Cricetulus griseus: one gene and its partners. The protein of the gene in region 1 purifies or fractionates together with the protein of each later gene. This does not show direct contact. Links are inferred from orthologs where the notes say so. Each region holds a gene or a part of one and is shown in the gene's direction. Other genes may lie near its edges.

What was found. The genes of interacting proteins can lie anywhere in the genome.
Region 2: the proteins of Suv39h1 (region 1) and Cbx1 purify together in Homo sapiens (affinity purification with mass spectrometry; 3 studies listed by BioGRID and IntAct, with this or other methods). This does not show direct contact. The link is inferred for Cricetulus griseus from reciprocal best matches to the Homo sapiens genes SUV39H1 and CBX1.
Region 3: the proteins of Suv39h1 (region 1) and Ehmt1 purify together in Homo sapiens (co-immunoprecipitation; 3 studies listed by BioGRID and IntAct, with this or other methods). This does not show direct contact. The link is inferred for Cricetulus griseus from reciprocal best matches to the Homo sapiens genes SUV39H1 and EHMT1.
Region 4: the proteins of Suv39h1 (region 1) and Mecom purify together in Homo sapiens (affinity purification with western blotting; 3 studies listed by BioGRID). This does not show direct contact. The link is inferred for Cricetulus griseus from reciprocal best matches to the Homo sapiens genes SUV39H1 and MECOM.

Annotation. Positions count from the first base shown.
Region 1 is NC_048604.1:114,534,571-114,540,722, reverse strand, and holds part of Suv39h1 (histone-lysine N-methyltransferase SUV39H1), read left to right. Parts: exon of another isoform or gene 1-897; coding exon 898-1,058; intron 1,059-1,148; exon of another isoform or gene 1,149-1,297; intron 1,298-2,257; coding exon 2,258-2,920; intron 2,921-3,137; exon of another isoform or gene 3,138-5,994; intron 5,995-6,152. UniProt on the Homo sapiens protein: Histone methyltransferase that specifically trimethylates 'Lys-9' of histone H3 using monomethylated H3 'Lys-9' as substrate. Also weakly methylates histone H1 (in vitro).
Region 2 is NC_048600.1:109,949,845-109,955,996, forward strand, and holds part of Cbx1 (chromobox protein homolog 1), read left to right. Parts: intron 1-2,866; 5' UTR 2,867-2,903; coding exon 2,904-3,043; intron 3,044-3,537; coding exon 3,538-3,715; intron 3,716-4,803; coding exon 4,804-4,898; intron 4,899-6,152. UniProt on the Homo sapiens protein: Component of heterochromatin. Recognizes and binds histone H3 tails methylated at 'Lys-9', leading to epigenetic repression. Interaction with lamin B receptor (LBR) can contribute to the association of the heterochromatin with the inner nuclear membrane.
Region 3 is NC_048599.1:136,126,827-136,132,978, reverse strand, and holds the end of Ehmt1 (histone-lysine N-methyltransferase EHMT1), read left to right. Parts: intron 1-3,382; coding exon 3,383-3,558; intron 3,559-3,738; coding exon 3,739-3,919; 3' UTR 3,920-5,034; downstream 5,035-6,152. UniProt on the Homo sapiens protein: Histone methyltransferase that specifically mono- and dimethylates 'Lys-9' of histone H3 (H3K9me1 and H3K9me2, respectively) in euchromatin.
Region 4 is NW_023276806.1:118,567,255-118,573,406, reverse strand, and holds part of Mecom (histone-lysine N-methyltransferase MECOM), read left to right. Parts: intron 1-3,185; coding exon 3,186-3,355; intron 3,356-5,123; coding exon 5,124-5,268; intron 5,269-6,152.

The DNA of each region.
Region 1 (6,152 bases):
GCTTTTCTCTGCCTCCTGAGTGCTGGCAGCTCCACCAACCGGCACAAAGGGAGATCTTCAAAGTGGGATTGATATTCACTGAGGATATTTAACGTAGAAAATTCAGGCTTTTGCTGTAGATATGTGTGCTGTTAATGTGTTTGATTATGGATGGCTTGATGTCCCAGACTTTGCTGTTAATGTGTCTAAAAATTACATTTTTTTTTTTGGTTTTTCGAGATAGGGTTTTTCTTTAGCCTTTTGGAACCTGTTCTGGAACTTGCCCTGTAGATCAAGCTGGCCTCAAACTCACAGAGATCCACCTGTCTCTGTCTCCGGAGTGCTGGGATTAAAGACGTGCACCCCCGCCGCCGGGTCTAAAATTACATTTTTTAAAAATCCCCATTTTTTTAAAATTCCGAAATACACAGGAGTTTCAGCTAAGTGATTGAAGACCAGGCTTCAGAGTTAACACCTCTGTTTGGTACCCTGGGGATTTTCATCCTCCCCCCACACACCTTTAGGGCATGCACCCTATGGAGCTAGGAAGCTGTTGTCTTTCTTTTGCAAAGTGGATAGAGAGGTGATTAGGTCTTGAACTTGAAGCAAGTCTGCAGGCAGTTTAAGTTCTGGGAGTGTTTAGATCCCTTTACATGCAGTCCATGCCACAAGATCCATTTACAGCCTTGCTGTTCCAGGGTTAGGGGGCAGGCTTTGGATTAGAAGATTGGATGGGTCCTCTCTCATAGGAGAACTGGACTCTTTGGTGTCAGGGAAAGAAGGGTGTGGTGACTGCATTGTGGGCAGGCTCCTCTCCAGGAGTTTCCCTGGGTATTAGGCTTCAAGGAATTGACATGGTCCTGTTGTAGAGGGTCTTAGCTTTGGTTAAGGCCTGATTAAATTTTGTGTGATTCCTAGGCCTTCTCATTCCAGGCTGCAGAGTATGTTGCAAATCATCCTGGAATCAGCTTCAGGATCTGTGCCGACTGGCCAAGCTTTCTTGTCCCGCCCTTGGCGTTTCTAAGAAGAATCTTTATGACTTTGAAGTCGAGTACCTGTGTGATTATAAGAAGATCCGTGTAAGTCTGGTGGGGATGTGTGAGACTGCCCTGGCAGGGGACCCTCTTCCCCACCCAACCCCCACATCTCTTTACAAAGAGGATTTTCACCTGGGGTAAAATGGGATGAATTGACTGTCTTATTTCCATTTTACAGGCAAGGAAATCAAGTAGCTTTCTCAGAAATATAGGCAGAATGAATCCTCAAAGAATGTCTTTTCCACTTGTACTTGCGGGATACAAAGATTGAGATTCTGAACCTAGGAGTGAAAGTAAAGATGACAATACTTAGTATGCACACTAGAAACTTTTTAAACTCTGATAATGCAAGATGATACAGTAACTGTTAACTGCCAGAAAAGGTTATGCGGTATTAGAGCCCACTGAAAGCAACTTGGTTAGTTGAAATGTAGTCTTCATTTTCCCTGTCTGTAAAATGGGGAGGACTGGAGTTGTAAGAATTCTAGGGTGTGTCAGTTGCTCAGGAAAATACCTGCTACATAGCGAGTGCTACAAAAAAATATTAACTGTTTTTCCTTTTCTCTTTTTCTTTATTTTTAGACAGGGTTTTGCTATGTTGTAAAGACTGTTCCTAAACGCAGAATCCTTCTGCCTCAGTTTACTGATGGCATTATAGATATGTGTATATTTTATGTATATAATCCTCCTCCCACTTATATATTTTCTTCTTTACAGATGAGGTAACAGACATGGCATGCTTTATTTGCCTAAGGCAACATAGCCAGGAAGCTACAGATTGCCATTTTAAACTCTGTCCTATGGCTGACTCCCAGCAATTAAAGCTCCCCCTCCCCTGGCACTGTGCAGAAAACTGAAACAGTGAGGGTAAAAACAGGGGGATCAGTAGAGGCACCTACCAGAGGACTGACTGGCTGCAGTGGCAATGTTTTAATGCAGTAAAGGGGTCAGATTCTGAGTGTATTTATTGGGGAGTGTGAGCAAAAGAGGAACCAAGAATAACTACAGGGTTTTGGGCCTGAACAGATCATTGGAATATAGAGGAGGAAGTGGTCTTGGGGGGTTGAAAAGTAGGAATTTCAACAGATAATAAGAGGGTGAGTGGAAGTTGGATTTAGTAATTTTTACTCCAGAGGCACTGCATGGAACCATTCTAGAGTAGTGTGGGGTGGGGTGAATGTTCTCTGTTGCCACAAGGGTCTCAAATTTATGGTACCCTTCTGTCCCTGTCCTCTTAACAGGAGCAAGAGTACTACCTGGTTAAGTGGCGTGGATATCCCGACTCAGAAAACACTTGGGAGCCACGGCAGAATCTCAAGTGTGTGCGCATTCTCAAGCAGTTCCACAAGGACTTAGAAAGAGAGCTTCTCCGGCGGCACCGCCGGTCAAAGCCACCCAGGCATCTGGACCCAAACTTAGCTAACTACCTGGTGCAGAAGGCCAAGCAGAGGCGGGCACTGCAGCGCTGGGAGCAAGAGCTCAATGCCAAGCGCAGCCACCTGGGACGCATCACTGTGGAGAATGAGGTAGACCTGGATGGCCCTCCACGGTCCTTTGTCTATATCAATGAGTATCGTGTTGGTGAGGGCATCACCCTCAACCAGGTGGCTGTTGGCTGTGAGTGCCAGGACTGTCTGTTGGCACCCACTGGAGGCTGTTGCCCTGGAGCATCCCTGCACAAGTTTGCCTACAATGACCAAGGCCAAGTGCGGCTGAAAGCTGGTCAGCCCATCTACGAGTGTAACTCCCGATGTTGCTGTGGCTATGATTGCCCTAACCGTGTAGTCCAGAAAGGCATCCGCTACGACCTCTGCATCTTCCGTACTAATGATGGGCGAGGCTGGGGTGTCCGCACGCTGGAAAAGATCCGCAAAAATAGCTTTGTTATGGAGTATGTGGGAGAGGTGAGGAGATGGGTCTGGGTATGTGTGCAGCTTTTCCCACTATGTGTTTGTAGTGTTTGTGCCTAAACCATGTTCCTAAAACTCTGTTTTCCTTGTGAGAAAAGTCTAAGGTGTTGGTCTGAGTGTCATAGGAACATCATAGCAGGGGTCAGCAATTTTACTTGATACATCAGCAGGACCATGCTGGTAGTTAAAAGAACACTGAAGTACTTCTCACCTCAACTGGCTTCATGAGGGCATACAGCAAAGAAAGTGGGACCCGAGCTTCAGGTGGCAAACCTTTCCAAAGCTATGCGGTCTGGGCATAGGGTTGCATCACCTGAAAAGGCAAGTTCTCTCCTCATTTTGAGATAGGGTCATTGTATCACAAACAGTAAATCTAAAGTAGCATGTAGGCTCAACTTGGATGGAGGTTTGGCAAGATCCTCTAGACCAGTGGTTCTCAACCTGTGGGTTGCAACCCCTGGGGTTTTCACAGGGGTCACCTAAGATCATCAGAAAACAGATATTTATATTACAATTCATTTACATTACAATTCATAACAGTGGCAAAATGACAAGTAGCAATGAAAATAATTTTATGGTTGGGGGGTCACCACAGCATGAGGAATGGTATTAAAAGGTAGCAGTAGTACAAAGGTTGAGAAGCACTGAACTAGATTTTTAGGTTACCCTGGGGAAAAGCTGGATGGCACATGATGCAGGCTAGCTTTTTTAAAATCAATAATCCCCAGATCTTTGTAACTTAACACATTAGGAGTTAGTATACATTGTTTTTAGGCAGAATCTCCCTCTGTAGCATAGGTTGGCTTTGAGCTCACAGTCCTCCAGTGCTAGGATTACAAGCATGTGCCACCATGCCTTGTCTAGGTTTACCTGGTTTGTAAACACCCTAGTATATGTGTTTTGGTGGATCTCCTGTTCACATACTGACTTCTGCCCCTAGGATTTTATCCCCCTTTTGTGCCTTTCTTGTACCTTAGGGCCTTCAGGTCACTGTCACATCCTCAACATTTTTTTTTGGTTTTTTTTTTTGGTTTTTTTTTTGAGACAGGGTTTCTCTGTGTAGCTTTGGAGGCTGTCCTGGAACTCACTTTGTAGACCAGGCTGGCCTCGAACTCACAGAGATCCACCTGCCTCTGCCTCCAGAGTGCTGGGATTAAAGGTGTGTGTCACCAACGCCTGGCTGCCCAGCATGTTCTTTGTGTAGACAAATCTCACTGTTTGAGAGATTTAGCTTCCCTGGATCTTGATTGTTTAAATGTGTGTTTTGTCATGATATAGTCTATGTATTTTCATAGATTCCCTCTAGATGTTATTTGCTTGGAAAGTGACAGTAACTGGCCAGAGGGCACATCAGAGGATGTCCACTTGTAGCAGCAACACTGGTGACTAGGAGAGGCTTCTGCTCTTTTTTTCTCTTTTGGTTTTTTGAGACAGGGTTTCTCTGTGTATTTCAGGCTGGCCTCAACCTAGCCTGGCTCTGCCTCCCGAGTGCTGGGATTAAAGGTACTCCACCACTACCCTGCGAGCTTCCACTCTTATGACCTGAAGGAAGCTTGAGCTTGCCACACTCCAGAAGTGTCTTCACCTCAGAGTGATTTGGATAGTTTGGAATATAGACATCTTTCTAGAAGATCCCAATCAGGAAGCTAGTCAGTATAATTCTATTGCCCAAGGTAGAAGAAAAGCCCTCTATACACACAGGATCTTATAGGAAGCAGCACCTATACCCCACAGGAAGGCTCAATCTTTTGAATGTAGTGTTCTTGCCCCTTCACTATGGAAGTAGCAGGGCTTCCAGGAGTCCTCTCATCTCTTCCTTACCTTTCCCTCTGTCATCCATTCTTTCCATATTGTTTCTTGACCACTGTCTTGCCATGGTCTACCTGCTTAGATCCAGGCATTCTAGTACCCTCAGACCTGTGAATCCTTCTGATGGTGTTGGTCCCTCAAAGATTGCGAGGCAGTAAGTATAGTAGAGCCGATAGAAGCTGATCCTTGCCAGCCTGCCCGAGGTTGATCCCAGCCCTACCACTCAGCAGCAGTCACTTCATGTCCCTCTTGGTTTCCTAACCTGGAAAAGAGGAAAGGTTTTGGTAGTTCCTCCGTGTGAAGCACTTGGAAGAAGCACTTCAACAGTACTTGTTAGTGCTTTAGTCTAAAACTCAGACAATCCAAATTGCTCAAAAAGTAAAGGATGTTATTTTGCTTTTAATAACCTAATCTAATGTACTGTTTTTGTTCTGGGGTTGAATATTCATATATTTAATCAGAGAAATATTAATTTACTTAATTATGGGACTGTCTAGATGCTCCTGAGGTGTTATTATTGTAGCCCCACCCCCATAGAATGCAGGGCCTCCCTTATGCTAGGTAGTACTTTGCCATTGAGCCACATCCTAACCTGCAAGGTGCTATGTAATTAATTCAAAGTATCATTCTCAATCTTGGATGCCAATCTTTCAGGCCACTGACAGTTTGTAACAATAGCTCCTGCTCCTTTGGACCTTTCCTTGTTTGTTCCAGATTTTCATGTTTCCACAGATTATTTCTAGCCTCATCAGGCAGAGAATACATGCATTCTCTGTATTTTACCATCTCTGGAATGGAGGTGAGTTTTAATTGGTTAAATGGTAGTAATGAGCACATAAAGAAAGGGTGAACCTTAGATTTCAACAAGGTAATGGTACTCAACCAGTCATTACAAAACATTTCTTCACACACATGCACTTTTGTTTGTTTGGGTTTTTTTTCTTGGTTTGGTTTTTCGAGACAGGGTTTTTCTGTGTAGCTTTGTGGACCAGGCTGGCCTCCCGCCTGCCTCTGCCTCCCGAGTGCTGGGATTAAAGGTGTGTACCACCACTACTGAGCCTGCACTTGTGATTTTACAACAGCCCCTAAATTGAGACTTTGCTGCTGATGTTCCCAGTATATAGATGAGAAAATAGAGGCCCAGAGGTGTCATGCAAGAACTTAGGTCAGGTTACAAAGCTAGTAAAGTGAAGTAGGTAGGAAGCGCCTATTTAAACCTGGTGCTTTGACAGGCCTACTTGTTTTTTTTTTTTTTCTTCTCAAAAAACAGGCTCAGAGAAATAACACGGGGGGGGGGGGGGTTGCGTAACCACTGACTCAAGTTTCTTATTTCTCATCCACATCAGGAGCCTTTTTAAGGTGCCAACTCCTAGGCTGTCTTTTCCCTGACAGTTTGGAGAGCTACTAGAGAAGAGGG
Region 2 (6,152 bases), on another chromosome or scaffold:
GTATCTAGAATTTGAGTTTCTACATATATTAAAACTTTTGTCCAGACACTGGTAATACCAGTTTAATCCAGATTGGACTATTAAATTAATCCAGAACAATACTCCTTCCTTGGGGAGGTGAGGGAATCCAGACACGATCTCTCAATCTAGTCCATGTTGACCTTAAACTCCTAATTCCCCTGCCACCACCTCCCAAAATGTGGAATTACAGGCCTGTGCCACCACACCTGGCACATATGCTCCATTCTTTGTATCTCATTCTGGATAATTGATTGTTCGTTTCTAAGATTCTAGCCAATTTTGTTTTACTGGTATATTTACAGCGCCATCTGCCGACACAAGTTGGTAATTTTAAGGCTTTGGGCACTTTCTCCATTCAAGGTATTCTGAACACTTTATAGTATGCTACCCAAGAGTGTTTAGGGAACCTGGATATAGCTCTGGCCTGTCAGAGGTGTGGTGGTACACACCTTTAATCCCAACACTGGAGAGGCAGATATCTGTGAGTTTGAGGCTAGCCTCGTCTACAGAGTGAGTTCCAGGACAGCCAAGGCTACACAGAGAAGGGGGCGGGGGCTAGAACATCAGAACTGAATGGATTAAAAGGTAAGAGGTTTACAGGGAACTAAAGTTTATATGCTAGAATATTTCAGGGACTTTCTGATTTAGGGTATTGTGTAGACAAAGATAAACCTTGAACCCCTTGATTCTCCTGCTAGGATCACAAGCATTCGTGCGCCACCATGCCCGGTTTTTAGGGGTCAAATGCAAGGCTTCATTTGTGTGAGACAAGCTCTCCACCAACTGACCTGTATCCCCAGCCGTATTTGGGGTTTTCATCAAACAAAACCAACTTCCAACATGAAAGAACAAGTTTCACCCATATATAATTCTATGTGTGGATGTGTGTTGGAGCATTTTTTAGACTTGTGTGGTTATTGCTTTTAATTATTTCGTGTGCATTGGTGTTTTGCCTGCATGTATGTCTGTGTGAGAGTGTCCGATCCTAAGGAACTGGAGTTATGGTTGAGAGCTGCCATGTGGGTGCTGAGAATTGAACCCAGGTCCTCTAGAAGAGCAGCCAGTGCTCCCAACTGCTGAGCCATCTCTCCATTCAGAAGCATGTTTTAGAAAAGAATAAACTCAGGACCTGCACTTGGCCTTGAGTACTAAAGTCAGGTGGCCTTGAGTTTATGTGGAACCCATAGGAAGGTGGAAGGAGAGAACTAGCTGCACAAAGTTGTCCTGCCCAAAAGAAGACAAACTTTACTACATCTCTGATGGCTACCTTCCTCTTTTCCCCCTGCTCATTTTCTAAGTTATTACAGTACTCCAGCTTAAATAGTTAATCTGGTGCTTCTTCTAAGCAGTCTTGAGGCTTAGAAATAAAGTAAACTAAGTCAAATAATAGTGATTTATGGGCAAGGGCTGTAGCATAGTACCTAGCATTCTTGAAACCCAAGGTTTAATTCCTAGTACTACCAAAGGGAAAAATGGGAGTTGGCTGGAGTTGTAGCACAGTTGGTAGAGTAGTCTCTTGCCTTGTATATTATACAAAGCCCTGTGTTCAGTCTTTTAGCACTACTGGGGGGAAGAGACAAGAGGGTCAGAAGATCAAGTTCATCCTCTGCTACATCATGTGAGGTAGCTTAGCCAAGCCCGAGACCCACATGGAGCTGACTCCCACAAATTGTCCCGTGACCTCCGTGACACCCAAACTTAGACTACATGAGTAAATGCAGTAAAAGAATTTTTAAAGTTTGAGCTGTGAATTTATGATGTCATTCAAGAAAAGCAAAGTGAAAAATAAAGGGACTTTTTAGCTGGACATGGTAGCATACATCTATGATCCCATTACTTAAAAGATAGAGACCAGATCAGGGATTCAAAGCCATCCTGAGCTATATGAGACTGTGAAGGCTGGGCGGTGGTGGTGGCACATGCCTTTACTCCCAGCACTCGGGAGACAGAGGCAGGAAGATCTCTGTGAGTTCGACCCACACATTGTAGTATCACCTATAATTCCATCACATAGAAAGCTGAGGACAGGACTGGAGAGATGGCTCAGAGGTTAAGAGCACTGGCTGCTCTTCCAGAGGTCCTGAGTTCAATTCCCAGCAACCACATAGGTCACAACCATCTGTAGAGATCTGGTGCCCTTTTCGGGCCTGCAGACATACATGCAGACAGAACACTGCATGCACAACAAATAAGTAAATAAATAAATAAATAAATAAATAAATCTTTAAAAAAAAAAAAGGAAAGAAAGCTGAGGACACCTTGGGCTTCTTAATAAGTCCTTGTCCAAAGGGAAAGAAATTTGCTGTGAGATTAATAATCATGGCTAGGGGTTAGAAAGATGGATCTGCAGTTAAGAGCATTGACTGCCCTTCCAGAGGACCCAGCATCCACATGGTAGCTCACAACTGTCTGTAACTCCAGTTTCTGGGGACTTGACACCCATGGCAAAACACCAATGCACATTTTTAAAAATGAATTAAAATAATAATTGTGCTTTTAAAAAAATAATCGTGCCGAGTGGAGGCAGCAGCATGGGCCTTTAATCCCAGCACTCAGGAGACAGAGGAGGCGGATCTCTGTGAGTTCAAGACCAGCCTGGTCTACAAGAGCTAGTTCCAGGACAACCTCCATAGCCACAGGGAAACCCTGTCTCAACCCCCCCCCCCAAAAAAAAAAAAATATAGCTAACTTGCTAGCTAACGTGGAAACGTGGTTGTGAACTGGAGATAAGTAGAGCATTATACATAAGCAGTGTACATCATCTGTGATTTCCCTTACCATCCAGATATTTATCTGACCAGTAAATGTGCCTTGATGCCCTTTTTATTTTCTTTTGTCATTTTAGCAGCGTCACTCTTTACACCGGAAAGCTGGCGGGTACTATGGGGAAAAAACAGAACAAGAAGAAAGTGGAGGAGGTTCTAGAAGAAGAGGAAGAGGAATATGTGGTGGAAAAAGTTCTTGATCGACGAGTTGTCAAGGGCAAAGTGGAATATCTTCTAAAGTGGAAGGGTTTCTCAGAGTAAGTTTCATTGGCACAGGTAAATTCAGTCCTTATGCTTGATACCTGTTCTGTGATGGGTATACCTGGGGTCAGTCCTGACCTCCACAGCTGATAGTCTACTGAGGAAGGACCTACATGCAGAATACTGCGATATATGGCAGCATTTTGTTTTGTGTATGTGGCATGTGTGGCCTTAAGTCCTGGGATGAAAGTCAGGTCTTCAGGCTTGCCAGATGTCTCCTTTTTCCCATTGAGCTATCTCACCAGTCCACAACAGTGATTTCTGAGGAGCAATTTGTATAAGATAGTCCACCTCTGCAAAGTAGTTTTTCCTTGAAGAAGACAAGTTTCTAAGCCTTTGGTCTTTACCATCCCCTGCTAGGAAACTTCTTAATTTTGAACAAAAATCTAGCTGTTCCTTATCATTTAACTCTCTTCCAAGACTACCTCCTCTCTTAGTTACAAATGTTGACTTGAGTGGAAGTGTAACTTGCTGTGATTGCTGGTTTCAGTGAGGACAATACATGGGAGCCAGAAGAGAACCTGGATTGCCCTGACCTTATTGCTGAGTTTCTACAATCACAGAAAACAGCCCATGAGACAGATAAATCAGAGGGAGGCAAGCGCAAAGCCGATTCTGATTCTGATGATAAGGGAGAGGAAAGCAAACCAAAGAAGAAGAAAGAAGAGGTGAGAAACTTAGGACAAGGATTTAAGTATTGGGCTTACAATTATGAGCTACGATACTTGAACTTCTTCCTCTGAATCTCAGCAGTTATGTCCTCTGTCCTTCGGAAATAAACTAATGTTTTTAAAAGATTTGGAAGTCAACCATGTGCACACCTGTAATCCTAGCAGAAGGATCAGGTATAAGAGACCTTGACTACAGGAGACCTTGTCTCATTGAAACATAACAAAACCAAAAAAAAAAAAAAAAAAAAAGGATTTGGGACTTATTCCTGTAAAGTGATCTAATCTTTTTATCTATGGTGCAAGAATGATGGGATAGCCGGGTGTTGGTGGCACATGCCTTTAGTCCCAGCACTTGGGAAGCAGAGGCAGGGGGATCTCTGTGAGTTCCAGGACAGCCAGGACTGTTACACAGAGAAACACTGTCTTGAAAATCCAAAAAAAAAAAAGCACTGACTAGCTGCTCTACCAGAGGTCCTGAGTTCCATTCCCAGCAACCACATGGTGGCTCTGTAATGAGATCTGATGCCCTCTTCTGGCATAAAGGATGTAACAGTTACTGGAGACACATGACAGCAACTGAATTTGTTTCCTGTCAGTAGATTGCTGTCAATAGATTGCTTTTAGTTTTTTGTTTGTTTGTTTGTTTTTTAGATTTATTAAGTATACAGTGTTCTGCCAGCATGTGTGCCTGCAGGCCAGAAGAGGCACCAAATCTTATTACAGATGGTTGTGAGCCACCATGTGGTTGCTGAGAATTGAACTCAGGACCTCTGGAAGAGCAGTCAGTGCTCTTAACCTCTGAGCCATCTCTCCAGCCCACTTTCAGTGTTTTGATCATTACAGATTTGAAGTAGCTGTTTTGTCTTACTTAGTATCTTAATTAATTTACCTTTGAAGAGACAGCATGAACATTTCTTTTGCTTGGGGTGTGTGTCCCATTCATGCCAGGGGTACCTCATGGTGTGGGAAGCAGAGGAAACCTTTAGTGAATGTTTGTGATTACATTTCTTAGAAACACAGCAATAACTTCATTCTGGATATAGTCCTATGCCAATAAAATTGTTCTGTCCTTCTGGTTTTTACAGTCAGAAAAGCCACGAGGCTTTGCCAGGGGTTTGGAGCCTGAACGGATTATTGGAGCTACTGACTCCAGTGGAGAACTCATGTTCCTGATGAAATGGTGAGTCTGCCAGTGGCTCTGTGTGGTTGTTTCTTCCCTTCTCCATCTGTTCTATGCCAGAGGAAAAGAGCTGCACCTTCGAAATTCCAGTCGCCAGGTGTGAATCTTTAAGATGACATAGTCCTTCGATAGTGATCCTCGGCATGACTACAAACCTGGACTCATGAGTTACAGGTAGGGGCCCTTAGGATTTTCAGATCTCTGATTTTTTTTTTTTTTTTTTTTTCTTTTTCTTTTGGTAGGTGGGAGAGACTATGGAGAGGAATCACATTTCAGTTCTGTTGAGTAAAGAAAAAAATTCTGAGATGTGATTGGATTGAATTTCCCTCCTTCTCTGCCACCTTCTTAGTAAAGATCAGGCCGGCCCCAAAAACAGGATTCTGTTCATGTTTGAGGGTAGGAAAGAATTTATAGAATTTATTTTTAAATTTCAAAATTAGCCAGCAGGGGTCAGCAAGGCCTCTACTGTTTACTGTTACTGAGCATAATGTAAGCTTGCCTCTTTCTATTAAAAATACTAGTGGTAACAATGTAGACTTGTTCTAAATAGAAACAGTGGGTGGTGTTTGTTAGCACTAGGCAGCATCACCTGCTGAACATGCTTGTACTTGCTGTATTTTTGTGTGCTGCCAGCACAGTAGGTTTCTATGACTGGCATGCACCACGGCATCACTCGGTAATGGCCAGATAATGTTCTGGCCAGAACATTATCAAGCAGTACATGGCAGTACTTTCAAACAGTTTAATGAAGAGTTCAAGTTAGTAAAAGTAATTATCTTTGTTTTTTTATTGTTTTGAGACAGTTTTACTCTAGCCTAGGCTTGCCTTGAACTTGAAATCCTCCTGCCCCAGACTCTGTGCTGAGATTACAGGGACATGCCACCATGATGGACTAGGAAGAGTAAGTGTTAAGCCATTGCCAGTTAAAATAGGATTGTCAAGTCTTTGTCCTTTGATTGGTCTAGAAATTTCTCTGAAACTAGTATCTATGGTAGTTCTTCCCTAGATAATGGCTGGAGTAAGTTCAATGCAGGTGAATGCCTGTGTCACAATGAACTAACCACCTATTTTCTTCTGTGTGTTCCTCCAGTCTTTATTGATTCGGACCCTCTTCTAACTTACAGGAGAAAAGAAAAACTGAATAAATAGTAGTATGTGTTAAGTAGTCTAGTTAGGATACACTTGTTCTGTATATCACTAGTGTGAGTTACAGTAGTATCTCCGTATTTTGAAGGGTTGCATTCTTGGTTAGGT
Region 3 (6,152 bases), on another chromosome or scaffold:
TAGAACTCATAAATTCTTCTCTGCCTTCTAAGGGCTAAGATTAAAAGTGCTTCCATACCGAGCCAAGATGCTGAAACTTGTATTTAAGTATGGAGTCATAGTTGAAGTCCAGTGAGACACGTGGCCATAGGTGGTTCACTTCTCTGCTCAGGTTGAGAGCTGACCTGACCTTAACCTATAGATAGACTCTTGGTTCCTGAAAGAGTAGCCTTGCTGATGTTAGGACCACACATATAGCATAGTTGCTGGAAGTGTGTCCTGCTCTCTGCAGTTACTTGGTCCTTAGGATATATTCATCGGAGGACTTGAAGTATTGTAATTGTCTTTTTGCAGTTGTATTACCAGTTTGATGTGCAGCTATGTTAATGTTTTAGTTAATTCAGATTTGGAAATTGAAGAATATGTGTTTTTGTCAGGCATGGCAACACATGTGTCTGTACCATCTCAGCACCTGTGCTGAAGGCAGTCTGGGCTCACATAGTAAAATATTCTCTCAAAATATATTTTTAAAACTGTTACGTTCATGGCATTTGGAGGTCAGAGGACAACTGCAAGAGTTGGTTCTTCCCTCCACCATGTGGGTCTTACAGATCAAACTCAGGTTGTTAGGATTGGTGGCAGGTGCCTTTCTTTACCTTAAACATAATAACTCCCCAAAATAAAATGACTTTTTTGTTTGTGCTGTGGTGCTGGAAGACTGAACCAGGATTTCATACATGCTAGCTAGGCATTTTATCAGACTTTTCATTATGCAAAAGACTTGTGTGTTCTAAAAGTAGAAACCATATTAAAGTCTTCTCAGGGATGTTGTGCTTCTTTGCATGTTCTGTGTTCTGTTAATGGATATTGGATTTTTCTCTGGCTGCTGTCACAAACACTGACACCCACATACCCTGTTCCTCACAGCTCTCATGTTGGTGAAGGCCATCTCTTGGTTCATAGCCAGTGCCTTTGCACTGTGTCCTTGTGAGTAGGAGCTCTCTGGAGTCTCTCTTGTGAGTGCACTCATTCCACACAGGCTTTGCCCTCAGCTGTGGTCACCACCCTAATGCCCCATCTCTCAGCCCTACTGATTGTCACTGTGAGGTGAGGATTTCAAATAATTGGCTTTAAAGAGGGATTGACACTTTAGTCATGATACTCTTCCCCCTGTTCCCCAACAGGAGACCATTTGTAGAAATAAAGGAACTTATTTCTTTGTTGTTTATGCAGAAAGTGGCGTAGTTTCTGTACCCTGCCTCTCTCTTGCCAGTATAGTACAGAAGTCATCAGCACAGGGTCTCTCTTAGTCTTTTGGGGCATCAAGGTTGATTTCATCTTTGCTACTTTTGCAGTTGGCATCTCAGTGAGTTCGCCTGCCTATGGGTCTTGCTCCTTTTTGCAGAGGAAGGTTACATAGTCAGTAGAACCTCATTAGAATCCCACTTGATTCTTTATTACTTCCTTTCCTTTGCCCATACTTTACACTCCTCTGTAGTGATTGTATTCTGAAATGTTGCTGTTTTATGCTGTATAGAAAGAAGAACATAAGCATTTCCTGTAATGCCTTCCCCCATGTAGCATTTGGTTTGTCTCAGGCTAGACTTCTTAATCTTTACTTATTTATTTTTAAAGATTTTATGTACACAGTCACAGTGTCTGCACACCAGAACAGGGCACTAGATCTCATTATAGATGGTTGTGAGCCACTATGTGGTTGCTGGGAATTGAACTCAGGACCTCTAGAGGAACAGTCAGTGCTCTTAACCTTTGAGCCATCTCTTCAGCCCCTATTTATTTTGAGACAGGATCTCACTATGTAGCTCTGGTTGTCCTGTTTAGGACAATCGCTATTTAGGACAATTGACTATTTAGATCAGGCTGGCCTCAAACTCAATGGTCTCTCTCTGCTTCCTGGGTGTGTGCCACCATGCCTGGCTCATTTTTATTATTAGGGGGTGGGCATTCAAGATAGTGTTACTCTGTGTAGCTCTAGCTGTGCTGGAACTCAGTAAACCAGGCTGGCCTTGAACTCAGAGATATGACTGCCTTTGCATTGGTAGAATCAAAGGCATGCACCACCATACCTGGTACTCATTTGTATGCTTAAATGTTAACTGTTCCCCCTGCCCCTCAAAGTGGGCATGTTTTCTGATTTTTTTTTTAAAAGCCTAGTTTCAGATTTAGGCTCTGCTATTGATGTACAGTTCTGGTCTCTATCCAATTGTCTGTTTCTTACAGTCAGCTTGATCTTCTTTCAATATGGGCCAGGTCAGCCAGAGGTTTCAGTGTGTAGACTGGCTCCCACCCCAGAATCCCAAGGATTCTTTGCCTGTGGACTCTCCATCTCTTAGTACCTTTAGCATGTGTACTGCCTGCTTTTAGGGTTGTTTTCTTTAGAGGCTTGCATTATATAGCTTCCTAGGCAATCACCACATTGCAGAGTCACAGGAGTCTTCCATTATTGTCTTTATGGCAGATATAGGACATAGGTTGCTCTGTCTTTGATCTGGTTGTTTGTCCCTATCCACCACTCTATTTCCTGCAGGTCCTGAAGTTACAAAGTGAAGGTTGTCAGATACCCATCTCAGACCCAGGCATTCCCATTACTGGTTTGTGTTTCGACCTTTGCCTGAATTCTGAGTGTGTTCATAGGGCAAGCCCAGGTTGTCTGGAGCAGGCTCTTGTTTGGGCCTTTTCTTCACAGAGTTATCCCAGCATACCTGGCTTTCCTCCCTAACTCTCCTCGCTAATATTCTGTGGCTATGTAACAGTATTACCCAAGCACCACAACTTAGGATGGCCTGTAACCACAGTTCTGGATGTCCAGTGTGGCCAGTCCCAGACCTGCCCATTTCATCCTGGGCAGCTCCTTGGAATTATGTACAACAGTTTCCAGGTCTTTTCTGCATGTCAGGCATGCCCTCTGCAGCAAAGACCTCCTTTGCCATGAAGTAGGCATCATACCACATCAGTTTCTCAGACATAGGAGCTCTGTGAGACAATTGTTTAAACGGCTCAAGAGTTAGCACAGCACACTCAGCGTGTCTTGATCCCACAGTCCCTGTCTGCTGGGAAACAACCACAGAATCTGGGCAGAGCTGTGGGACAGGGACACTTAGAAACCTGTACTCCTCTGTGTAGCTACACCTCTGTGTCCCTGGTTAGCATGGTGCTCCTACCTCTGATACTACAGGATTTAGTGTAGCACGACCTATGGCAGAAGTCTGCTTTGCTGAGCCTGAGTTGTCACTGGACCACAGAAGCAAGTTCTTCAGTCCCAGCAGAGCCACGACTAAGCTCCAGATTTTCACGACTACAGTGCTGGTTTCTAGGGTAAGGACATGTCCTGGATTGCTTACTGGCTGCAACATATCATGGACTCTCACTTTCTCCCCCAAAGGATGGAGAGGTATACTGCATTGATGCTCGGTTCTATGGGAATGTTAGCCGGTTCATAAACCACCACTGCGAGCCCAACCTTGTGCCTGTGCGCGTGTTCATGTCACACCAGGACCTGCGGTTTCCCAGGATCGCCTTCTTCAGTACTCGCCTGATCCAGGCTGGGGAGCAGCTGGGGTAAGTACAGACCCAGGCACAGTGTGACCCTGGCTGGGTGGGTAGGGTTGCTGCATTCCTAGCCATGCATGTGCTTCAAACATGAAGGGTTCTGGGCCTCGATGGGTTAGCTTGGGGCACTTGGATATCCTACCAACCCCTGTGTGCAACACACAGAAGTACTGAGTTCTACTTCCTCAGGTTCGACTACGGGGAACGCTTTTGGGACGTCAAGGGCAAGCTTTTCAGTTGCCGGTGTGGGTCTCCCAAGTGTCGGCACTCAAGCGCAGCCCTGGCCCAGCGGCAAGCCAGTGCAGCCCAGGAGGCTCATGAGAATGGCCTTCCAGATACCAGCTCTGCAGCTGCTGCCGACCCTCTATGAATTGCCGGTGGGGCCGGCGGGACCTTCCAAATCATATTTTGGTGACTGCAATTTAGAGAGGAAAATCTGCACAAGATGTCCAAGAGGAGCTGGAGGTGTGGACACCTCCCAGGGAATGTTCTGGTCCTGAGGCGTTTCAGCTGGCCCAGTGCTCAGGCCAGAGCACTCCTCTGGCCTGCACCTCGAGACCTGACTCCATGTTGTATAACTTGTGAGTTCCTGGTGGTGGCTCTGTCGCTGCAGTGCTTCCCATTTCTCCTGGTCTCTGAGGCCCTCGCTCCACTGCCAGGTTTGTTTCGTATACTGTCTGATCAGGCTACTATAAGGCACTCACCAAGGCCACCGTCACCTACAAGCTGCTCCGTTAGACCTGCTGCCCACAGCCTGTGTTGCTGGCACCAACTCCCAGGTGCCATCCGAGGACACTAGCTCCCTTACAGCCGTGGAGAGGTTGGCCGACCCACCACTCACTTTGATGAAATGTGGGTTCGCTTTTTAAAGAAATCCTATATCTAGCCCTATATATCAAGCCTCTTACTGGTGTTTCTTTGCGAGGAAGCAGGTTGGTGATGCAGGCAGACCCTGCACCAGCCCCAGCCAGTTCCGTTGACGCAGGCACCTTTTGTTGATTTTTAAGCCACATGCTATGATGATGAATAAACTTGTTTGTTTTCTACCATTACCGAACATTAGGACAAACAAAGAATAAAAACACAAAACACAGACAACGGTGCTGAATCTGGTGTGGTTTCTACTCACCACGTGAAAATAAACTATCAACTGTAAAAAGAGAACAAAATGATTTTAGAATAAAGTGCAGGAAAACTTTTTTAAAATGTTAGTCTTGTAGTTGAATAAATTTGCCGTCACCTTTTGTGTGATGGCCTGGCAGGTCATGTACTTTTTTTTGGCATATACCTTTCTAAATACTGTAATTAGTGCAGCGACAGTGGGGGTTTTTTTTGTGTGTGTGACTCTTCTAAAACATTCATAATGCAGTCATGTTTATTTTTTTCTGTTAAAATGTTTTTTGACAGTTTTAAGAGCAGTCTTTTGGCTCAGACCATTTCTTGTTCTGTTTTCAATGAAATCAATAAAAAAGTACTTTAAATGGAGTTTTCATTATGATACATTCTTTCTCCTTACCTCTGCAAATCCCTAGCCCTTCTACACTGGGTACTATACTCAGGGTTTCTGGAGGTCTGCCAGGCCCATAGTCACACACAAGGCTGGAGGGCTGCATGTGTGTTCATGTGTTTGGTGTCCAGTGTCCAAGTTTGAAAGCCATTCTGACTGCTGTTGGAGCAGGTGAGTCCTTATATGTGACAGTTTTCATCAGGGCACAGCGAGGGTGGAGGAGGCAAAGCTGGAGCTCTTTCCTCCCTGCTGACAAGTGATGCCTTCCCTAGGGAGCCCAGATACCAGTGCCTTTTTGTGCTCCATGGTAGTCTGGCATTGTTCACTATGGGAGAGCTTGTAAACTCAATGAAAAATTGATCAAAGGCTCTATCTTTGAGTGTGTGGAGCTCATTCAGTCAGGCCTTTTCTCAAAGGGAGACAACTGTTTCAGCTGTATAAATGATCCAGTAGGGTGCCTGGGCCCACATGCTGTACAGCCTGTGGCCCTTGCATCACTACTGGCAACAGCTGTGGGATTGCTATGGGCAGATGGGATAGTGGTAGATCCCAGGAAAGGCCAGTTTCACTTCTCCCAAAAGAACTTGGGTCTTCGCCCTTAACTGCTCTGAGGAAGAGTTGTGCTATGAAGAAGCCCCCTCCTCAGTCTCCTTTGCCTGTTTCTATGCAAATACTACACCTACATACCACATCTGTCAGGGAAGAGGTGTCCATGTTGCTAAAATTCAATCTCTGTGGTGTTGGGTGTGCTTCATGCAGCATTTACTCAATACCTAAACTTTTGCTGGTGAACATGGACCTGTTTCCAAGGTCCCACTCATAGAAACTATGCAGCAAAGAAAACTTCTGGACATTGCCTTTTTTACTTGTCATGTTCTTGAATAAGGGTATCTTAGTTAGGGTTTCTGTTACTGTGAAGAGACACTGTGACCATGGCAACTCTGACAAGGGAAAGCATTTCTTTGGAGCTGGCCTACAGGTTCAGAGGTTTAGTGCATTATCATTTGGAGAAACATGGCAAAATTCAGACTTGGTGCTGAAGAAGTAGCTGAGAGTTCTACATCTGGATCGGCAGACAGCCAGAAGAGAGAGTGAC
Region 4 (6,152 bases), on another chromosome or scaffold:
ATACATGTTTAAAAGATGTTAGCAACCTTAAAAAATGTTTTTACTTTAGTGTTCTCTTCTCAATAATGACTATCATTTTAATTGACAAAAATCATAACACTGAAGTTCCTCTCATCTAAGCCTTGAGTCTGCCTGGAGGTAACATCCAAATATATCTGCTTCCTTAGTACAATTAAGTCATCATCCACAGATCCCAACAGGAGGTTTAATAAACAAACATTTCAAACTTCAGAAGAGGAAAAAAAAGTATAGATGTAGAGATTCCATAGATAGTGTATTCTAGGAAAGGGGGCCAATTCTATAAATAGCCTCTTATTCTGTTAAATACTAAAATTAACCACGTGACACACAGGCCATATATGACTGCAATAGCTGTGCTTACAACACAATGAAATTATGAACATGGCTACTTTTAAAATGTAACTTATTATTTAAGTGTAATACTTTGCCCTCAGCATTAGAATCCAAGTTAGGCTTTCTCCAAGAGTGAATTTATCTCAAGCAACATTATAGTTTGTTTCTCCTCTGAAATTCTTAAGTGTGTATTAGTATAATTGTTTTGGCCTGAACACTATTATTTTCCTTACAATAAATTATCTTGTTTCAAAGTTGTTTGTAAGCAAAATAGGGGAGATGGCTCAGCAGCTTGCTGTAAGACAGTTCACAATTCCTGTAATTTCATTTCAGAGGGATTTGATGCCTCAGGACTCCCCAGCCACTTTTACTCACATGTACATATCCACCCTCCCATATTACATATAATGAAAAATGTGCATCTTAAAAGGGGAGCGAATGAAAACATGGAAAGACCTATGATTATTCAAAAAATAATAGTTTTGGGAGAAACTCAGAAAATTAGCGTTTTCTTAAGTCCCTTTGTTTCTACTCATAAATGTCACTTCACTTTATATGTGACGAGATGAACTTTACATAACAGATCTTTAAGAGATAGAATGATGGAAAACATTAGGTAAATTCCCCCTTGGAGAATATTCTATCACCTAGGAATTTTGCTTAAATGGAAAGGTTTCCATATTCACATTTTCTTACAGCTGAATGTTGTCCCAGTCTACAGCTATGACATCATGGTCCTTCAATTTGGTGCTGAATGAAACACCCTTATTCTGCTTCATACATATTGCTGTTGCTGTACATGTATTTAAAAGTATACAAGCTGGTATTTGCATTGCTGGGAATCTTGATTTGCCCAGATCTTCTATTTTACAAATGGAGAAAAATAAGAAATCAGATCTTTAGATGCTAACTGCTTTCTATGAAGTTTAGTGCCCAGGCTGGACTTTTCACTTTGGATCTTTCACCTCACATCAGATTTCAAAGCTTTTTTGTCTCCTATGTCTTCATGTTGTTATGAAGGGTTACAATTAGGTTATGCATGCATCTTAAAAATTCTTGAACCTTGATTTGAGCTGTCATTTAAATACCAGATAATATATTGGAATAGAATAAAGTTACTTTAAAATTTAGCGTACTTGCCTCTCTATTCAATATGCTTACAAGAAAGAGAATCAAAATGCTAGCTGATCGTGGGGAGACACTGATCTTTATTGGTCAACTCTTTCTAAAGCTGAGATGATGATGGAGTAGATTTGGAAAAGACCTTTCACACAAAAGAAGCATGGGGGCATGTGAAACTCTAACTCTTTCTCCATTGTGATTCATGTAGTCTGTGTCATGAGCAGAACATTTCAGACCTTTATTAGCCTTTGCATTTTCTCTGCCAGGCTCTTGAATGTGCTTTACTTAGTATAACATGGTTGTGCTAAGCGCACAAGATTTCTCTCTGCACTGTGCCTTTGAGATAAAAGTATTGCAGGGAAAGCCATTATTCCATAAGCATTTTTTCTATGATGACAACAAAATGGAATAACCCTTGTCACAGTGGATTTCACTCCTTTTTATTACTATTATCAGCCAGAAATGTTAAAGAACATTATGATGCAGAAGTTGTCCCTTCCAATCAAGGACTCTCGAGTTGACTCATTGATACCATGCCAAAGTAACTAGTTCGACAGATTTTAATTTCCACTGACCTGACTAGATTTCTGACATCACAACGGAAGCAGGAAGGGCCGAATACTTGGATTTGGATGAATGGGGTGACTTCTAATGTAGAGCACTTGAGCTAAAATCTGTATTGAGACTCAGGGCAGGAGAAGGACCCATCACGCATGGAAGTACAACTGAAGGATTTTCTGGCTTTGAAGTTGAACAGTTTTACCTAGAAGCAATTCAGAAAAGTCAGGTTATTTTCTTTTAACATATCATGTACACACACACACACACACACACACACACACACACACACACACACCTCAAAAATATGATAGTCTCCTTCAAGTGCTGTGAAATAACTCCATTAATTACAAAACCACTCCCATTCTCAGAAAAGAGCTGGGGTAGCCTGGTCTCCAAGTTTTACATTTTCATTTTATGAATAAAGGAAAAATTTTAGATAACTTAGGGTTTTTAATTGTATCAAATCAGAAACACTTACCTAATGCACAATGAGCCATTTCTAAGGAAACTGACCTTCAGAGTTGCAGTCAGCTTTTTAATAGACATCAGAATGAAAAACTGGGGGAAGTTGAGAGCAGGCAGTTAGTGAAGACCTTTGTTTTCTTCCATGAGGACTTAATAGTGTCAGAACTTGCTTTTGTAACAGTTTGATTATTAAGTGAGACTCTGGGATTCCCAGTCACTATAGGTTAAGAAAAAACCACTCTCTTCAGCACCAAACACATTTTTTTACATTGCCTCAGTTTTTAAAAATTGGAGTATTTTGTACCACTAAGGAAAAAATGATGGAATTTTCTTTATAGTTGCCATCAGGAGAGGTAAATGTGCTAAGAAATTGGTTAGACTTTTAATATACACTTGCAAATATTCAATTGTGTTGTATTAAGCAGAATGTAAGACAATGCTATCACTTTGTGATATATTTAGTTTTAGTGAGATTTATTTAAAGCATTGGAACTCAGTATTCTAATAAATTAGAGAGCGGTGAAACCACCCCCAAACAAAACGAAACAAAACTACTGGAATTGCAGTATTCCTATACGAATAGTGTTTTCCTATGTGAAGTGTTATTTTAATGTTCAGGTCCACAAGTCTTAGGAAATATCTTCTAATGTGTTTGTGATACTGTGTCTGTATTTACTTTCCAGATGCAAATACTGTGATAGATCATTCAGCATTTCCTCCAATCTGCAGCGACATGTCCGCAACATCCACAACAAGGAGAAACCATTTAAGTGTCACTTATGTGATAGATGTTTTGGTCAACAAACCAATCTTGACAGACACCTAAAGAAACATGAGAATGGAAACATGTCTGGTGGGTCCTCAGTGGTGCTATGGGGGGAAAAATGGCTTGTGTTTTGTATTTTGGCATATAATCGTGCTCTTTCGTCTTCCATCCCATTTCAACACTAAAATCTGATAGTACTCTGGAAGTTCATACCACATCTCCCTTGAGTTTGAGAACCATGTGAATGAGGCAATCACTAATGAATGAGAATGTGAGACTCTGTGGTCTTGTTTAGGTTAGATTTCCATCCAGCTGGATTTATCTCAACAGGCAATCTCAAGCAGAGACAGCCATGACCTAGACTGCACAGATATGAGTCAGAATTTCCTAAATTGCAAAGAATTCTCTTTCCATCTATTCACAGAATATGTATTCTAAGAGTGGCAAATCCCTGACTATTAACCTAGAAATCATGGTCTCAGGTATAACTTTATATAAGACTAGGGATTGGAAGTGAACATGATCAGAGCAGCTTACAAAGGATGCACAGATCTTGTGGTTCCATCCCTAAATGTTATCTAATAAAATCAAATAGATGACAACCTCATCCCAGTCCCCAGACTTCCTTGATGGCAAACCTGACAACATGTACTTAATAGAAGGGATTCTATATCTTTTCTTTGCTTTTGAAAGTTCGACGACCAACCAAGAACTGAATTTGTCTGCTGGGGTATATGTACAGAGATAACCTGTACAATTAGGATGATGGTGGGCAAGTACTGAGTTCAAGGAAGGGGACTTCAGAGAAGGAAAAGGAAACAGATCTGGAAAGCCAAATCATTTTTCTTGAATAAATTACTTTGTTGATCCTTTTTTTGGCTGTAAGCAGCATTGTGTGTGATCTTGAATGGTAACATGTACACTATTCATCTTCCTCAATCCCAAAAATCCAATCCTGGTTTTTAAGTGTTGGATTTTAAGCCTAGAAGTTTAGTCCAATGATGAAAGCATAGAAAATATTCTATGTGCCAAATATCCTATATTATGTAATCAATATTATTTCAGAAAAATAGAAAGTTAGAAAATACATCTAGTTGGGGGTCCAAGAATATAGTTCAGTGGTAGAGCAGTTACTTGGCATGTACTGGTTTTTGAATTTGATTCCCAATATCGGGAAAAATAAATTTGTCAAAGTTGAATGCTTATTTTTAACCAGATAATTTCATTAAGATGGGAAAGTACTAGCTCCATGTTTTTGCTATATGGATGGTAATAATGAACTATTAAATTGTAGATATATTGTGGGAATACCTAAGTAGTATAAAGCCTGTGTTTACATAAGATGTGGCAATATATTAAGTACTTACAATGGTGTGAATTTATGTAAACCAATATAGCAGTTCTATGACACAGGTATCATGACTTTAATTTGCAAGGAAGCTGAAGACCATCTTATAGAAGGCAGATCCTTTATTGGCCTCTTCATGCTAAACCAGCCTCTGGGTTGTTTCTGAGTCTGCTCACAACCCCTTGTAACAAATGAAGGTATAAAATGCTAGGTGTGAGTCCGTAAATAAGATTTCTATAATTTCTTACCCTGTCTTCTTATATGAATGAAAATACTCCCATGCTCCAGAAAGATAAGAACAAGCAGGTTGAAAGAAATGACAACCTTGATAGTCTGTGATTCTTGGTCTTGGTGTCCAGACTCATGAGCTTGCACTACAATTTGGAGTTGCTTGTATTCCCATTGCAAAGGGCAAGTTTTGAGACATAGCACTCCTCTGGTTTATAAGGAAGGAAGTGATAAGGAATGAACAATGATCTTCTCACAAAGGCTTTCTTTCCCACCCAGGTACAGCAACATCTTCACCTCATTCAGAACTAGAAAGCACAGGTGCAATCCTGGATGACAAAGAAGATGCTTACTTCACAGAGATCCGGAATTTCATTGGAAATAGCAACCATGGTAGTCAGTCTCCTCGGAACATGGATGAGAGGTACAGCAGCTCTTGCACACATTTCTGCACTCATGTGCTGGTACTATTGCTGATGCTGGTGATTGGAGTTTATTTGAATGCATAGCTAACAGTTATGTAATATGTTACATGTACTAGTTAACAAGTTACTATTTTTCTTCATCATATGTGCATTGTGTAAATCTGTGTATGTTTACATGTGTATTGGTACCCATGCACTTGTGTGTAGAAGCTATGGAAGCCTGAGGTTGAAGTCAAGCACCTTCCCCAATCATTCTTCTACCTTATTCTTTGAAGCAAGCTCCCTCAGTCATATTGATATTCAGAGATATTGCTAGTTTTGATAGCCAGCTTGCTCCCAGCATCCTTTGTCTTTCTTGTGAGGATGGAATTATTGGTGGACCACCATGTCCACCCAGCATTTATGTGGGTTTTGGGGACCCTGTCTTCTTGCTTGGGCAGCAAGTGCTTTAAGTGCTGAGCCATCTCTTCAGCTCCATATTACTTAATTTAATTTTCACAATGACCTCATGAAAGTGACTGCAACTTTATCAGAAAAGAATGGTGATATCAAAGGTTAATAACTTGCCAGAAGCCATGTAAATAATTGATGAGATGTAACCTGGCCTATTTGTTTTGCAGCCCATTTTACTACCAGGCAGTTCTGCTTACCTTGGCAGCTAAATCAAAATTTCAAAAGCCAGAAGGAAATTCACCAGAAGGATTCATTATTGGTTATTACTATATTTAATATGCTATTAATAGATAACTCATGACACAATGTGTGTCTCCATCTTGTCTTTCTCTCTATCTCTTTACATATCAGTATCACTTTGTATATGAAGTAACATTGATTAGTTCAATATGTTTGCACAAAAGCTGTTTGAGAACTTTTCAATTCAGAG